Linked DNA regions of Canis lupus familiaris. The protein of the gene in region 2 interacts with the protein of the main gene of each other region in a biochemical or structural test. Links are inferred from orthologs where the notes say so. Each region holds a gene or a part of one and is shown on either strand. Other genes may lie near its edges.

Region 1 (4,232 bases), on a different chromosome or scaffold from region 2:
GAGGGCGGCACCCCCCGCACAGGACACCAACCCCTGACCCAGAGGGACCTGGGCTGGCCTGGCCCCAGGCTCTGTGGGGGCAGGGGCGACTCGAGAACTGCCCCCCAGGCCCAGCACTAATGGGATCCAGTGCTCCGGGGCCCTGGCCAGGCCTGCGTTCTGGCCCCGGGCTGAGCGAGCCCTCTCAGAGCCGGATGTGGCCTCCTGGGCCCTGGGCGTGCCCCACAGATCCAGGTCACTGACCTAGGGCAGCCCTGGGGATCCCGGGACACCCCAGGGCAGGGCAGCAGGGGCAGGCCCGTGGGCCCCACCCGCACCCACACCAGGAGGCAGGCTCCTCCACGTGCTGGGGCTCCAGCAGTCAGTCACCCGGCCCCAGTGGGCCCGAGGCCGGGGTCCAGCTGCCCTGCGGGGACCTAGAGCAGGAGCCCATGGGCCGCAGGTCCAGGCCAGCTCTGCTGTCCCCAGAACCGCCTCTCAACACCCCAACCTCAGGACACACACCCCCACCCGGAGTCCGCACAGGCTCCAAAGTGGGCGACTCCAGCACCCGTACCCCCGTGGGATTCCCGCTTTCCTCTAAGGACAGGAAGGTCTCCCAGGGGAAGGCGCACACCCTCGGCTCTGAGCCCGTTTGCTGTTGCAAGTTCAATAAGGTGTTGTGTGAAAATGCACGGCCGGCTCGTTTCTGCGTCTCCCGGAGCTCTGTGCACGGGGTGTGGAGACACCCCCAGAGAGGAGGAGGGGGGACCTCCCGGCCCCGACCAGCCCCTGCAGGGGCGCCGCCAGGCACACACAGCTGACGTCCCCACGTGCCTTGCAGGTGCGGCCATACGCCAGGGTCAAGACCATCAAATAATTTACTGCGACTCAGCCTTTGCCCCGCGGGCAAGGACGGGACTGGGGGAGAGTGACAGCCGGGGGGGCCCGTGGCCTCAGTTCACGACAGTCTGTGCAAAGCGCCCTGGGAGGTCCGTGCTCCCCCTGTCCAGGGGGCCTGGGCTGGCCGGGCCCCGGGGGCGCTTCCTTCCTTCCTCGCCCTCCTCCTTCCTCCTTCCGCGCCTCCTCCCAGCTTCCGGCACCTCCTCGCCCCGAGCCTGTGCGCCTGGGGCACAGAGGACCAGCGGGGCTGCCAACGTGGCCCTGGAGGGGACGTCAGGACAGCAGGCACTTGCAGCTCATGCAGCCTGGGCCTCCCTCGTCGGGCGGGCTCAGCTTGCGCACCTTGTGCTGTCGAATCTCTCGCACCAGCGTGTAGAAGGCATCCTCCACGCCCTGGGAAGACGGGGCTGGCTGAGCGTGCGGCTCGGCCCGGGGGCCTGGCAGCGCAGGGGACCGAGGGACCCCAGCGTCAAGCTCATGCATCATCCCAGCTCCCCCTGGCCTCTCCCCACCCCGCCCCCACACAGGCAGCCCCAGGGCTCCCCCCATCAGGCGGCTTGGCCCTCAGGAGCTCCCCCACAGGGCAGCCCCGAGGTCTGGCTCCCAGCTCTAACATCCAGGGTCCCGCTCCTGTCTGACCTACCACCCTGGTCCCCCACAGCCCATTAAAGAGGGCAGGGCCTACACGGGCCCATGGGGCTTTCTGCGGGCAGGGGCCAGGGCCCCAGGGTCACCACTCGGCCTGGCTCAGGGCAGCTCTCTCTGGGGACCTCTGCCTCTCCCTGGAGCTGTGTCAGCCCAAACCCTGGGCCCCGGCCTCCCTCGCTGCCCTGCCGTCCGGGGACACTTACAGCGCTAGGGGCCGCTGGGTCACGGGGGTCCCGGAGGGTCCCAGAGGGTCCCGGAGCTGGAGCCAGAGCCAGACCGGCTGCCCTGTGTCGGGGGAGAGGGGGCAATAAGCACTGCTCCCTGGCAGGGGCGGGGCGGGGCGGGTCCCCAGCTAGCTGCGGGGTGGGGAGCCGGCTCACCTGGCGCGTCTTGGCTGACGTCTCGATGTAGGGGATGCCGTAGCTGCGGGCGAGGTCCTGCGCCTGCCGGGACTCCACGGTGCGAGCAGCCAGGTCACACTTGTTCCCCACCAGCACCATGGGCACGTCGTCAGAGTCCTTCACTCGCTTGATCTGCTCCCTACAAGAAGGAAGGTGGGAGCCAGTCGGTAGGCTGCAGGCACGGCTGCATCCGAGACCCTGACAGAGAAACGCGATGAGAGGCAGAGGAACAGGTGGCTCTGAGGGCCGGCCGGAGGCTCACCTGTACTGGTGGATGTCCTCAAAGGACTTGGTGTTGTTGATGGCAAATACACAGAGAAAGCCCTCCCCCGTGCGCATGTACTGGTCCCGCATGGCGCTGTACTCCTCCTGGCCCGCTGTGTCCAGGATGTCCAGCAGGCACGTCTCCCCGTCGATGACCACTTGCTTCCGATAGGAGTCCTGCGGCAGGCCAGTGCTTCAGAACGCCCAGCCCCACACCTCCGAGGACGGGGCCACCCAGCCACCAGCCCCTCCTAGGTCCCCAGGTGCCACCCCCAGGTCCCACGAGCAGGGGCCGCCCTCCTGCGGAGCCCACAGCAGACATGCCCACAGCAGGCTCAGGGCTGGGCGAGCTCACCTCGATGGTGGGGTCGTACTCATCCACGAAGTGGTTCTGGATGAGCTGGATGGTCAGGGCGCTCTTGCCCACGCCTCCAGCGCCCACCACCACCAGCTTATACTCCGTCATGGCTCCTCACGGGACGCAGCACAGGACGCCAACGAGGTCTCCTGTCCCACCTGCTGAGGAAGCTGCTCTCAGCCCTGAGCCAGCCCCGTGGGGCAGACCACCCCGGCCCCGACCCGGTCCCCAGGCCCCACACAACCAGGGAACCGGGCGCAGCCGCCCACCTGTGGCACCTCCAGCGGGGGGGGCGGCGGGGGGGGGGGGGTAGGCACCTCGCCGGCGCTCATGGCTGCGAGAGAGCAGGGAGAGCTGACAGCTGAGAGCATCTCCCAACCACGCACCCAAATTAGAAGTTGCTGGGTAGGCAGAAAGCGTGCACTGGAGGGACCCGGAGGCCCTGCAGGCTGAGATTACCGCCCCTCCCCGCAGAAACAGGTCCTGCCACAGCGGAGTGCAGCAGCGTGCCCGGGCAGGCCAGAGCCCCGCCGCGCCTCGCTGCACCGGACTAGCATCTGCGGAGCGCCCGCGGCCGCCAGCTGCTGCTCCGGGGGCGAGGCCCGGGCCCTCCTGTCCCGGGGGGAGCCCCAGGCCCGCGGCCGCTCGAGCTTCGCAGGAGAGCAGCGGCGGGCTGCGGGGATGGCGGCCCCGGGAGCAGGCCGGCGGGGTAGGCGCGGGGACGGCGCTGGGCCGCGGCCTCCGGCCCGGCTCCCGGTCTGGGAGGTTTCGGGACGCGGTGCCCGGGGCTCCGGTGCGAACGCCCGGCTCGCCCGCTGTGCATCGCGGAGGCCGCCCGCCGCCCGGGCCTCGGGGGCGCGCCTGGCGACCTGGGGGCCCCGCACGCGGCCCGCGGAGGAGAGGGCGCGGACGCCGCCGCCCGGGGCGCCCCCGCACCCCGCACCTCGCACCCCGCACCCGCCGCAGCGCCCGCCCGCGGCTCACCTGCGCCCCCGCGCGCCCCGCCGCCGCCGCCGCCTCCACCGCCCGGCGCCGCAGCCCCGGCCGCCCCCGCCCCGCCCCGCCGCCCGCCGCCCCCGCCGCACTCACCGCTCACTGGCGCGACTGCCCCCGGGGCCGGGGCCGGGGCCGGGGCGGGGGCGGGGAAGGGGGCCGGGGCCGGGGCGCGCGGCTCGCCCAGCGCATGGGCTCCGTCCGCGGAGGGTGCGGCTCGGGCTGCGGGCTGCGGGCGCGGGCGGGCGGACACTCGGGGGGGAGGGCGCGCACGCCCCGCCCCGCGCCCGTCCGTCACGCAGGCGCGGCTCGCCATTGGCCGCGGCCGTCGGGCCACGCCCCCGCCCCGCCCCGGCCCGCCCCGCCCCGCGCCGGTTGGCCGGCCCGCCCGCCCGTCACGGGCCGCGGCCGGGCGGGGCTTCCGGGAAGCGGCGCGGAGGGCGGTGCCCGGCCCCGGAGGCCCTCGTGGGCCGCGGCCTGGGGGGGCTGGGCTGCGCCCGCGGGCGCTCGGCGGGAGCGCGAGAGGCGCGGGCCGGGGCGGCGGCCTCCGCGGGGAGCTGCCCGACAGGACCGCGGGCGGCGGTGCACCGGGGCGGGGGCGCTGCAGACCGGCGGGAGCCCGTGTCCCGCGGTGGGGGGCTCCCTGCGCCGCGAGGCCCAGCGGAGGGGTCAGGCCGGGAGACGAG
Region 2 (4,666 bases):
GAGGGATGTTCCCACTTCCTGCTCTGGGCTGGACACCAGGCCTTGCCTGGTTTGGGGTGGGGGGATTGTCATTAAGGCAGCAGGGAGCATCTGTGGGCAGATGCCTCTTCCCATTTCATTCTTTCACGTGACACACATTTATTGAATTGTCTGTGTGGCAGGTACAGGTCCCCCCCTCATGGAGGAGACACATAAACATCTGTGTGTTCTGAGAGAACTCTGAGGGTATCTGTGGGATCGGTGCTCTTACCATGGGGCCGGCAAGAGGTGCAGAAGGGGAGGGGAGGGCCAACAGCTGGTCCAGGTGGCCGGGAGGGCCTCACTCACAGTATATTCAGAAGAGAGGCAGGAAGGGCGGGAAGGAGGGAACAGCCAGTACCAGGGCCTGAGCAGGAGATGTTTGGTTCACTCAGAACACAGCAAGACAGGGGTGTAGCCCAGTGCCGTGCAAAACAAAGGCAGAAAATCAGGGCGGGCGCAAGCGTAAAGGGTCGGCTGCCAGGACAGCTTGGGCTTGTACTCAGACGGAGGGGAGTCCCCAGGGCTATGTGCTGAGGAGGAACACACTGAGACTTGCATCTTCAAATGGGTCCCTCTGGCTGCTCATGGGGAAAGAAGCTATTGGGGAGACAGGCTGGAGGCCAGAGGCCATGCCCAAGGAGACCACACTGTTGGTCTGCAGGTCCTTGTGGGGTCCTGTGTACCCCAACACCTCCAAGTCAGCTCCCTCACCCCCAGGGAGTCCTGAAAGACCAAGGCTGCAGAACCGATCAGAGGCCAGCCCTTTTTGGACCTCAGGCCACGTCCTGTGGTTGAGAGGCAGGGATGGACTCATGGGCAGAAATCGGTCATGTGCAAACACTGCATCTGCAGGACAGCCAGACCTCTGTCTTGAGCCCTTCCCAGCTTTGTGCTCACTGACCCTGAGGAGCACACTGCAAAAGCAGAGCATGCAGGCACCCCCTATACAGAGGAGGAGATTTAAGCCACCACCCGGAGCCCAGTCACAAAGCTCTAATTTGAACTGAGCTCGGTCTATCCGGATCAAGCTTCAAGCTTCAGCCCCACGTCTAGCAGGCTCCCAAGCCTCCCAGAGCCCTGGTGGGCATCCCTGGCCTTTCCTGAACCACATCAACGAATGAATGCGGGAGGGAAGCCCTGTCCAGACTCTAGGCCTGGTGCCATTCTGCATCCCCCAACCTCCGGGCCATTGCCCATGCTGGTCCTTCTGCCTGGAACACTCTCTTTTACCTGACTCACTCTAACTTATCTTTCAGGTCATCAACCCCTCCAGGAAGGCTTCTCTGCCCAGACCAGACCCCTTCTCTCCAAGCATGTCTGCTATGCCCACGCCCCATACTTAACATGGCCCAGCCTGTGATAAGAGCTCTTTCCCTCTGGGAATGGGTCTTAGGGGAACACCACCAGAAGGAAGCAGTCACACAAACCAAAGGTTTACCTCAGCCATTATCTTTAACCAAAGGAGACCAGCCACCACTTAAGTGGGAATAGTTCATGGGATAGAAGTGTGTCCACCAACAAAACATCAGGAAAGTTGTTTCCCAGGAATTTATGGCAATGTGGGAACACCTTTGCAAAAAGGTGGAAAATATGGGAATTTAAAAACAAAACAAACAAAAAACTGTGCCCTCTAAATGCTGCCATGTGAGCATGTGGATAAAGTCCAAAGAGAACTACAGTGAAGGAGAAGTGCCACCATGTTTCTCCCTCCCCCGGTTCTAACACCCTGATGCATACTCACTCACCCATTGTCTCCACCAAATACATAGATGGCATCTTTATAGGCCACCACTGTGTGCTTGCTGCGCCTGGAAAGAAAGAATGGGTGGGCGGCAGTGAGGTCAGGACCCTCCTGGGGGCGCCCAAGGAATGAGGCTAAGCACGAGGGCTGCCGCAGAAATTAGGTAACACCTCTCGGCTGCTAAGACGGATAGAGGTCCCTAAATTCCACCAGTACCCCAGGACCCTGTATACAGACCCCTGATATTGCCGGGGGGCTCTCTGGACTCCGGGCCCCACTGCAGAGCTGCTGGGACCCCAGCTCCAGACCCACCAACACCACTTGGCCCTAGTACCTGCCCCGGGCCCCACCCCGCCCCGAGACGCCCTCTGCACACCCCCTCCGCTCCAGACATCTTCCAGGGCACCATCACTTCCTCCCCACCCCCCACTGCCAGGACCCAGGGCTGGACTCCACGCCCTGGCCTCGCCCCTGGGCCCCTCCCCGGGACCTCCCAGACACCCCCGGTCCCCAAGACCCCCTCTACTCCGCCGTACCGGGCCCCCACGAACTCGTCGCAGGGCGGGAGGCGCCGCCAACGATGCACTGTCTCGAAGGGCCCGAAGTTGAGTGTCAGGTACTCAACACTGTCAGAGCAGCTGTGGTCAAAGTCCACGCTCGGGGCTACCTTGGACCGTGCGCTGCCCGCCAGGGCCCCGGCCCCGATCGGGCCTCCCGAGCCCCCCGGCCCAGCCATCCCGGGTCCACGCCTGATCAGCCACCCGGTCCGCGGGACGTGCAGCCACCGCCCCGGGCCGCCCCGAGGGACTACATTTCCCAGGCGAGCCCTGTGCCGACCGCGCCACACTTCCGGCCTGCGCCGCTCGGCCGCCCGCCCCTCCCGGCAAACTGAGCGCTCCTCGTGAGTCCGCGGGCCGGCGCCACCCCCGGGAAGCGGGGAGCCGGTGACCCTCTGGGAAGCATTTCCCGCCCAGTACGCGCGGCCGCTGCCCCCTTCCAGGGAAGGCGGCGTCCGGTCCCCAGCCCCGTCCGGACTGCACTTCCCCGGCGCCGGCCAGGCCCACGTCTGCGGGAGAGGGGCCACACTTCCCGGCATGCCCTGTTTGCGCGGGGCTCGGCCTTGACCGTCCGCCGCCCCCGGGATCCCGGGTGGAGGGTTCCGGGCTTGCAGCGACCTAGGAGGAAGCCCTGCGCCCCCACTTCTGGCTGCCGCGTCTCCCCCGCGGTATTCCTTTTGGCTCTATGAGAGGCTCTAGATTCTCCTTCCTACTTAATGGCAGAGCCTCATTTTCTTCCCCTGCAAAATGGGGACTCAGGGAACTAGCTGCCATGAAAAGCATGGGCTCTGTCTCAGGACCCAGGCCCTACTGCCCTAGGCAGGCACATGCCCCCAAACTGCCAAGCGAGCTGCCTCTCACCCCCGAGGAAGCACTTCCCATCTCAGACGCTTGGCACGTGCTGTCCCTTCTACCTGAAGTGCCCTTCTTTCAAAATCCAGATCCAAGACACTGCTTAGAGAAGCCTTCCCTAACCCCAGGGACAGAATCAGTTGCTATCTCCTCTGAGTGTGCTCAGAGACCAAACTTCCTTGGTGTGGCGCTGAGCACCGTGTGCTTGTGCTTTCTCCCTCATGAGTGTCTGTCCAATTACAATGGAAGTCACACAGATCTGCAAATGTGTGTGTTTTAATTTTTTAAGATAATATCTAATATGTTGCAGGGTCCTGCAGGGGACCAGTCTCAAGAAAGGGAGAAGAGGATAGGCCTGTCCTGCCTGGATTGCCAGCCATCAGTGGCAGCTGAGGCCTCGGGGAGTAAGCATCTCCTGGAGGCAGCAGAAGCCTCTGGAGGTGAGCCAGGCAACCGAAGGCAAGCACTGGGAAGGCTCAGGTTCTGCCCTGGGGGATCCTGGGAAATTGGAGGTTGGCACCTGCCCCCAGGGCTTGGCCTCTGTCCCTGGTGCCCAAGCGTGCCTGCCCAAGTCTGCTGCATGCGAGCTCAGGATCCTTTCCCTGTGAGCCAGGACATGTCGCCGGTCCTGCAGGAATGAGGGGAGGAGGAGTCAGGGTAGAAGACAGCAGGTTACCCACTCAGCACCATGAACAGGTGATCCCCGAGGACAGCAGGAGGCCCGTTCTGTGCCAGGCCCTGGTGCCCAGGAGGAATGGGTACTTAGCAGAAAGGGGAAGACCATGGGGGTACAGGCTCTGGGCTGAGGTGGGAAAGGCTCAGAATGGTCGACAGGAAGGACAGAGGACCACGTACTTGCTGTGCAGCACAAACAGCCTTTTCGAAGGCAAGAGGGAGAGAGACAGAGAAGGCCGGGGAGAGAATATGTCATTCATGTTCCCTCTTGGTTCTCCATTGTTTCCAGCCTGAGGCCTACTCCTGTCCCTTGGTCTCCAAGCTTTCCCCAGTCTCTGGGCAGGGGGAGGGGACCTCTCTGTAGGCAGTTTGAGCCCACGGGGTGACTTGCATTGGCACCATCCTGGGGTGAGGGTAATGGCTGACATCCAGTGTCCCCCCACCCCCGGACCCCAAACAACTACCCAATATCTCTGTGCAGGGTGTCCCCAGCTGCCTTCACCACTACCACCCCCAGCTTCTGTCAGGCTCAACACCACCAAGTCCAGTTGGGTGTCCCAGGCCGGGTGACTGCCCAAGCAGTGGCTTTGACCAAGGGCTTTGACCCCTCCGCACAGCACTGGCCCTGTCCTTCTAACCCACAAGAGCACAAATAACCAGCCCATTTGCAACCACAGCCCTTGCCCCACACCACCCCATAGTCCTGATGCCCCATAGACTGATGTGGACCAAGAATAGGGGAAGGGCTCTGTAGGGCTATGGGGGTGGATGGCAACCAAGGGCCAGTCCCTTGGGGAACCTCCCCACCACAACCCACCAG
Region 3 (4,666 bases), on a different chromosome or scaffold from region 2:
AGTACATTTATTTAATTTACCTCCTTTTCCCCAATAACTACATATTATTAAAAATAAGGAATGAATTACAGAAAGAATGGCAGTAAATTCACAATAATTTATCACAGGATACGTTATTCTCAATTAACGAATGTGCAGATATAAACACTATAGAAGTAGAATCCTAGTCACTGAAGACCAAGAATTATCCAAATAGGCAGTACCCCACCCTCAAAGGAAAGGTAATATGATTTTCCAAATGATAACATATTAACCGTTACCTCCTTAAGCTATTTTAGTCTTCTCACAAAGAACAGTTAGGCTACACAATTGTTATATTACAGCTCCGTGGCCTATTCTGTGCCACCTAGCCTTATGTGCTAGGCCATCATGGGAGCCTCTACAAGCATGTATCTTATCCTGTTCACTCCCACTTTTTATTCCAACAGGCCATAGGAAATGGGGAACAATGAGAAGAATCACACCAAAATGTACGCCACCTCTCTGCCTATCCTTCCCCCTCAACAATTTGGATAGCCTAGAACAGTAGTTAATCAAACTGTCATCCAAGAGAATCCAGTAGCATTACTAAAACTTTTGGGGGTCCAAGAGGTCAAAACCACACTAATAGTAACAATACTATTACTACCACAATGTTATTTACCCTTTCCACTCTTTGCACAAGTGCAGAGTTTTCCAGGCGTGATCACAATACAGTGAACACAGAACCAGATATACAGATGTCTTCTATTAAGCAATATAGTTAAAGAAATTAGCAAAAATGTGAAACAATGCCACTATTCTGTTTTGAAAAACCGTTTTCATAAAAATGCTATTATGTTACCAAGTAATAGGCTTATTATTTCTATTTTTAAATGAATTAACCAATTTTTTTAATTCTCAGTTTTAATTTGTATTAGGGTACGTATCGACACACCCCATATGGGGATCTTCAATAATTTTCAAGAGTATAAGGTGTCCTTTCAACTAAAAAGTTTGATAGCCTAGGAGATACTGTGGACAGATGCCAGACTAGAGCTTAACTGTGTGAATTCTGAGAGACACACACCTTCTGGTGTCTACCTGTTTATGCAGCCGTTGTTTCTGGGGAAGAAAAAAAAAAAAATCCCTGTATTGGATTTTAGAAACCAAATAATATTTAAATCCACTAGACAGAACTGGGTTCCCACGGAGTCTTACTGAAGATCATAGCCCAGAAAGAGCCGCCCTCACCCATAGCTACAGAGGGGTAAAGTGGGACTAGAACCCAGTGTTTTGTTACAGGAAAAAGAAAGTCACTTGAATCATAAAACTGAATTATCCTCTCATCTACAGTCTCTTAAAATCAAGTATGGCTGTGGATGTCTACAGTCTCAAAGTAAACAGTATTGATATCAACCGTATTTGGTGTCTATAGTCTATCATATGGTCGAGTCAGCACGTTGGACCTTAGTCACCTAAGAGTGACATCACTCATATGGTTGATTCTGAGATGATGATTAGGAACAGAATTTTTCCCTTTGTAATTTCTATGTAAATGATTTTTTTTCCCCACTACAAATATAACATGTATATTGTATAAAAATCAGAAAGTACCTTTCTGCTTTAACTCTTATTTTGATAAATGCCAAGACTTAAGAAGGTAGCTTAGGACTTCTGCTAGAGCATACACATGCTTAAGAGTATTTCAGGCAGTTGGCTGGGAGACTGCTACAATTAAGTCCTCTTTGCAAGTCAATTTAAAAAAACAAAAAAAAATGTGTGTGAGTGCCATTTAGTAGTACTTCTTGGGATGGGGGTCAAATTTGTGAGGACAAAGGTAATATACAAGAGACACGGGAAAGGACAAGAACAGGCAAATTAAACTTTAAGTAGGATTCTAGCTATTGCTGTCTACACTCAACTAGCAAGGAAAAAGCCCTGTTTCTGCTCTGCGGGTTTTGTGTGTGTGTGTGTGTGTGTGTGTGTGTGTGTGTGTGTGTGTGTTTTAACTTGACAAAGCAAAACAGACCTTCTGGGATTAACTTTTTCCTTTTCACGAAGTCACGGGCTTTACGTTGCAGGGTGTTGGCCACCTGTTCTTCCACCACCATCTCTACCTCCACCTCCTCCTTTGTGGCCACAGCAATGTCACAGCCCATACATGGGGGAGGGGAGCAGTCAGGAACTCGGCTGCAGATGCATTTTTTTTTTTTTTTTTCCAAACACAATAACCACCAACAGTGGTCTCCTCAGCACTTTCCTCGGCTCTTCCGAAACGTGACCTTCTCCTATTACTCCCATACCCACCCTATACTCTGAAAAGGACCACTATCCGTCCGGTCTGCGCTCGAGGGAGAAGTTTATGCCTCCGTCCTAGAGATGCTCGATGCAGCAGAGGAGGAGGCAGTAACCGAGGCAGCCGAGGGCTGGGAAGGGAGGAAGAGGTGCGGGAGCGAAGGGAGAGGGAGAGAGAGAGAGAGAGAGAGGACGAGGGGGAGGGGAGCCTGGAGAGCATCGGGAGTAACCTCCACCGCACCCGGCCGCCCCGAGGGGCAGCCCGCCCAGCCCGCGAGTTTCTCCGCACCCGGCCGCCTCCGGCCGCGGCTCTCGGGGAGGAGGAAGGAAGGGGTTCCCCGTCCAGGAAGCAGCCCCGGCGGCGGCCGCCTCCAGCCTCACCCTGCTCAGCCCCGCACCGCCCATTCCTCATTCCCCGCGTCGCCGCGTCCCCGCGCCCCCGCGCCTCCCCCTGCAGACGCCCCCGCCCCGCCCGCCCGCCCGCCCGCCGGGGCCCCGCGCCCGCGCCCGCGCCCCCTCCCCGCCCCGCCCCTCCGGGGACCCCTAATTCATTCACTCGCCGCCGGCCCCGCCCGGCGCCGGCGAGGAGGGTCGGGACCGGGGCAGGGGCCCGGGAGGGGTGGTCCGCGCCGTACCTCTCTCCCGCACCTGGGAGCCGCCGAGCCTCTGGCCCCCGCCGCCGCCTTCAGTGCCCGCGCCGCGCTAGCTCCCCGTCCGAAATGGCGGGGGCCGGGAGTACTGGCCGGGCAGCCGCCACCGCCGCCGCCGCCGCCGCCGCCGCCGCCGCCGCCGCTGTGCCTCCGCCGCCGCGGCCGCCGCCTAGGGAAATCGAGCTCCGAGCTCACCGATGGGTTCGGGGCCTGGCGGCCGCAGAGGGCAGGACCATCGATGCGCGCGGCGCTCGATTCCTCGCCAGACCGGCGTGCGGGGAGGGAGCGGCTGAGGGCGGTGTGGGAAGAGGGAAGAGAGGGAGCCCGCGAGCGCCGCCGGGGAGGAGGAGGAGGAGGAGGAGGAGGAGGAGGAGGGGAGGAGGAGGAGGGGCCGCGCCGGCGGGCGGCGGGCGGCGGGGGGCGGGGGAGCCGGGCCGGCGCAGCCTCGGCGGTCTGGGCGGCACCCACGCGGCGGCCCGCCCCGGGACTGCGGCCGCAGATCCGCACCGGCCGGGGGGCGGGGGGCGGGGGGCCTGCACGCGCCGGGAGCCCGCGGGGAGCGACCCCGCCGCACGCCCTTCGGGAGCACGCGGAGAAGCCGCGAGGAGGCCGCCGCCCGCCGCACTCGGGCGCGTTCAGTTACCGCCGGTCGAGCAAGTAAATAAACATGCGGGGAGCAACTGTGGGAGGCGACTCCGGGCACTTAGGGACCCTGACATCCGGCAGACAGCTCCCCCGCGCGGGACTAGTCCACGCCGCCGCTCGCCTGGGGGTGCACCAGCCTCCGCACCCGGGGGGCTCCCCAGCCCCAGCCCCAAGCCCGAGCGGGCGTGACACAGGCTTTCCCCGGGAGGAGGTCTGTTGCTTTTCTGTTGTTGTCTTTAGGGAGGTTTCCAAGTCATCACAGGTCGTTCTAGGCAGCGACCTCAAAGGTGCCTACTGCCCCTGACGGCACAGACCAGACAAACTGTTCAAGTAGAAGAGCCCCGTGATAGTTTAGACCTGGGAGAAGACCCCAGATTAATCGGGTAACGTGCAGGGAGTTAACACGCTCAACAACGGAGCAATTAAAACTGCTGCCATATCCCGGAGTCTGATAAACTACCTAGAAAGGTAAATTGTTGGGGTGGGTTTTAAAAGACCGAGGCCTGGGGGATCCCTGGGGAGCTCAGGGGTTTAGCGCCTGCCTTTTGGCTCAGGGCGTGATCCTGGGGTCCCGGGATCGAGTCCTGCGTCGGGCTCCCTGCATGGAGCCTGCTTCTCCCTCTGCCTGTGTCTCTGCCTCTCTCTCTATGTCTATCATGAATAAAAAAATGAAGACCGAGGCCTGGCCGACCAGCGTCTGTACCTAATAGGACCACCTAGCTGAATCTCTACTTGCAGTTCTCTCTCTCTCTCCTCTCTCTCGTCCACACCGTAAAACACGACATAACGATTGTTTTTGCATCTCAGCTATTACCTCACTTAACATAGGCCTTACACCAACTGTCACCCTTTTCTACCTCCCCCTTAATGGGCTGTTACCTGCAAGGCTTACTCTGGTCTTTTTCTCCTAGCACCTAGTAGCAGGTGGAAAAGACAGAAATGAGGAAATAGAAGACAGGGAAGGGAAAAGAATGTGTCTACGCTATGTCAGGTCGTTGCTAAAAGTTTTGCACAGGGACGCCTGGGTGGCTCAGCCGTTGGGCACCTGCTCAGGTCATGATCCCGGAGTCCAGCATCGGGCTTCGAGGACTCTGCTTCTCCCTCTGCCTGTGTCT

What was found.
Region 1: of the proteins of LZTR1 (region 2) and HRAS, one has a biochemical effect on the other in vitro, tested with the Homo sapiens proteins (3 studies listed by BioGRID, with this or other methods). The link is inferred for Canis lupus familiaris from reciprocal best matches to the Homo sapiens genes LZTR1 and HRAS.
Region 3: the proteins of LZTR1 (region 2) and KRAS form a complex in vitro, tested with the Homo sapiens proteins (2 studies listed by BioGRID, with this or other methods). The link is inferred for Canis lupus familiaris from reciprocal best matches to the Homo sapiens genes LZTR1 and KRAS.

What each region holds. Positions count from the first base shown.
Region 1 is NC_049239.1:25,993,223-25,997,454, forward strand, and holds HRAS (GTPase HRas), read right to left. Parts: upstream 2,717-4,232; 5' UTR 2,662-2,716; coding exon 2,551-2,661; intron 2,373-2,550; coding exon 2,194-2,372; intron 2,071-2,193; coding exon 1,911-2,070; intron 1,824-1,910; exon of another isoform or gene 1,816-1,823; coding exon of another isoform or gene 1,753-1,815; exon of another isoform or gene 1,276-1,752; coding exon 1,156-1,275; 3' UTR 843-1,155; downstream 1-842. UniProt on the Homo sapiens protein: Involved in the activation of Ras protein signal transduction. Ras proteins bind GDP/GTP and possess intrinsic GTPase activity.
Region 2 is NC_049247.1:30,684,262-30,688,927, forward strand, and holds the start of LZTR1 (leucine-zipper-like transcriptional regulator 1), read right to left. Parts: upstream 2,582-4,666; 5' UTR 2,499-2,581; coding exon 2,299-2,498; intron 1,830-2,298; coding exon 1,767-1,829; intron 1-1,766. Other genes in the region: AIFM3 (apoptosis-inducing factor 3), read right to left, coding at 3,551-3,799, 4,027-4,047. UniProt on the Homo sapiens protein: Substrate-specific adapter of a BCR (BTB-CUL3-RBX1) E3 ubiquitin-protein ligase complex that mediates ubiquitination of Ras (K-Ras/KRAS, N-Ras/NRAS and H-Ras/HRAS).
Region 3 is NC_049248.1:24,281,133-24,285,798, forward strand, and holds the start of KRAS (GTPase KRas), read right to left. Parts: upstream 3,035-4,666; 5' UTR 2,892-3,034; intron 1-2,891. UniProt on the Homo sapiens protein: Ras proteins bind GDP/GTP and possess intrinsic GTPase activity. Plays an important role in the regulation of cell proliferation.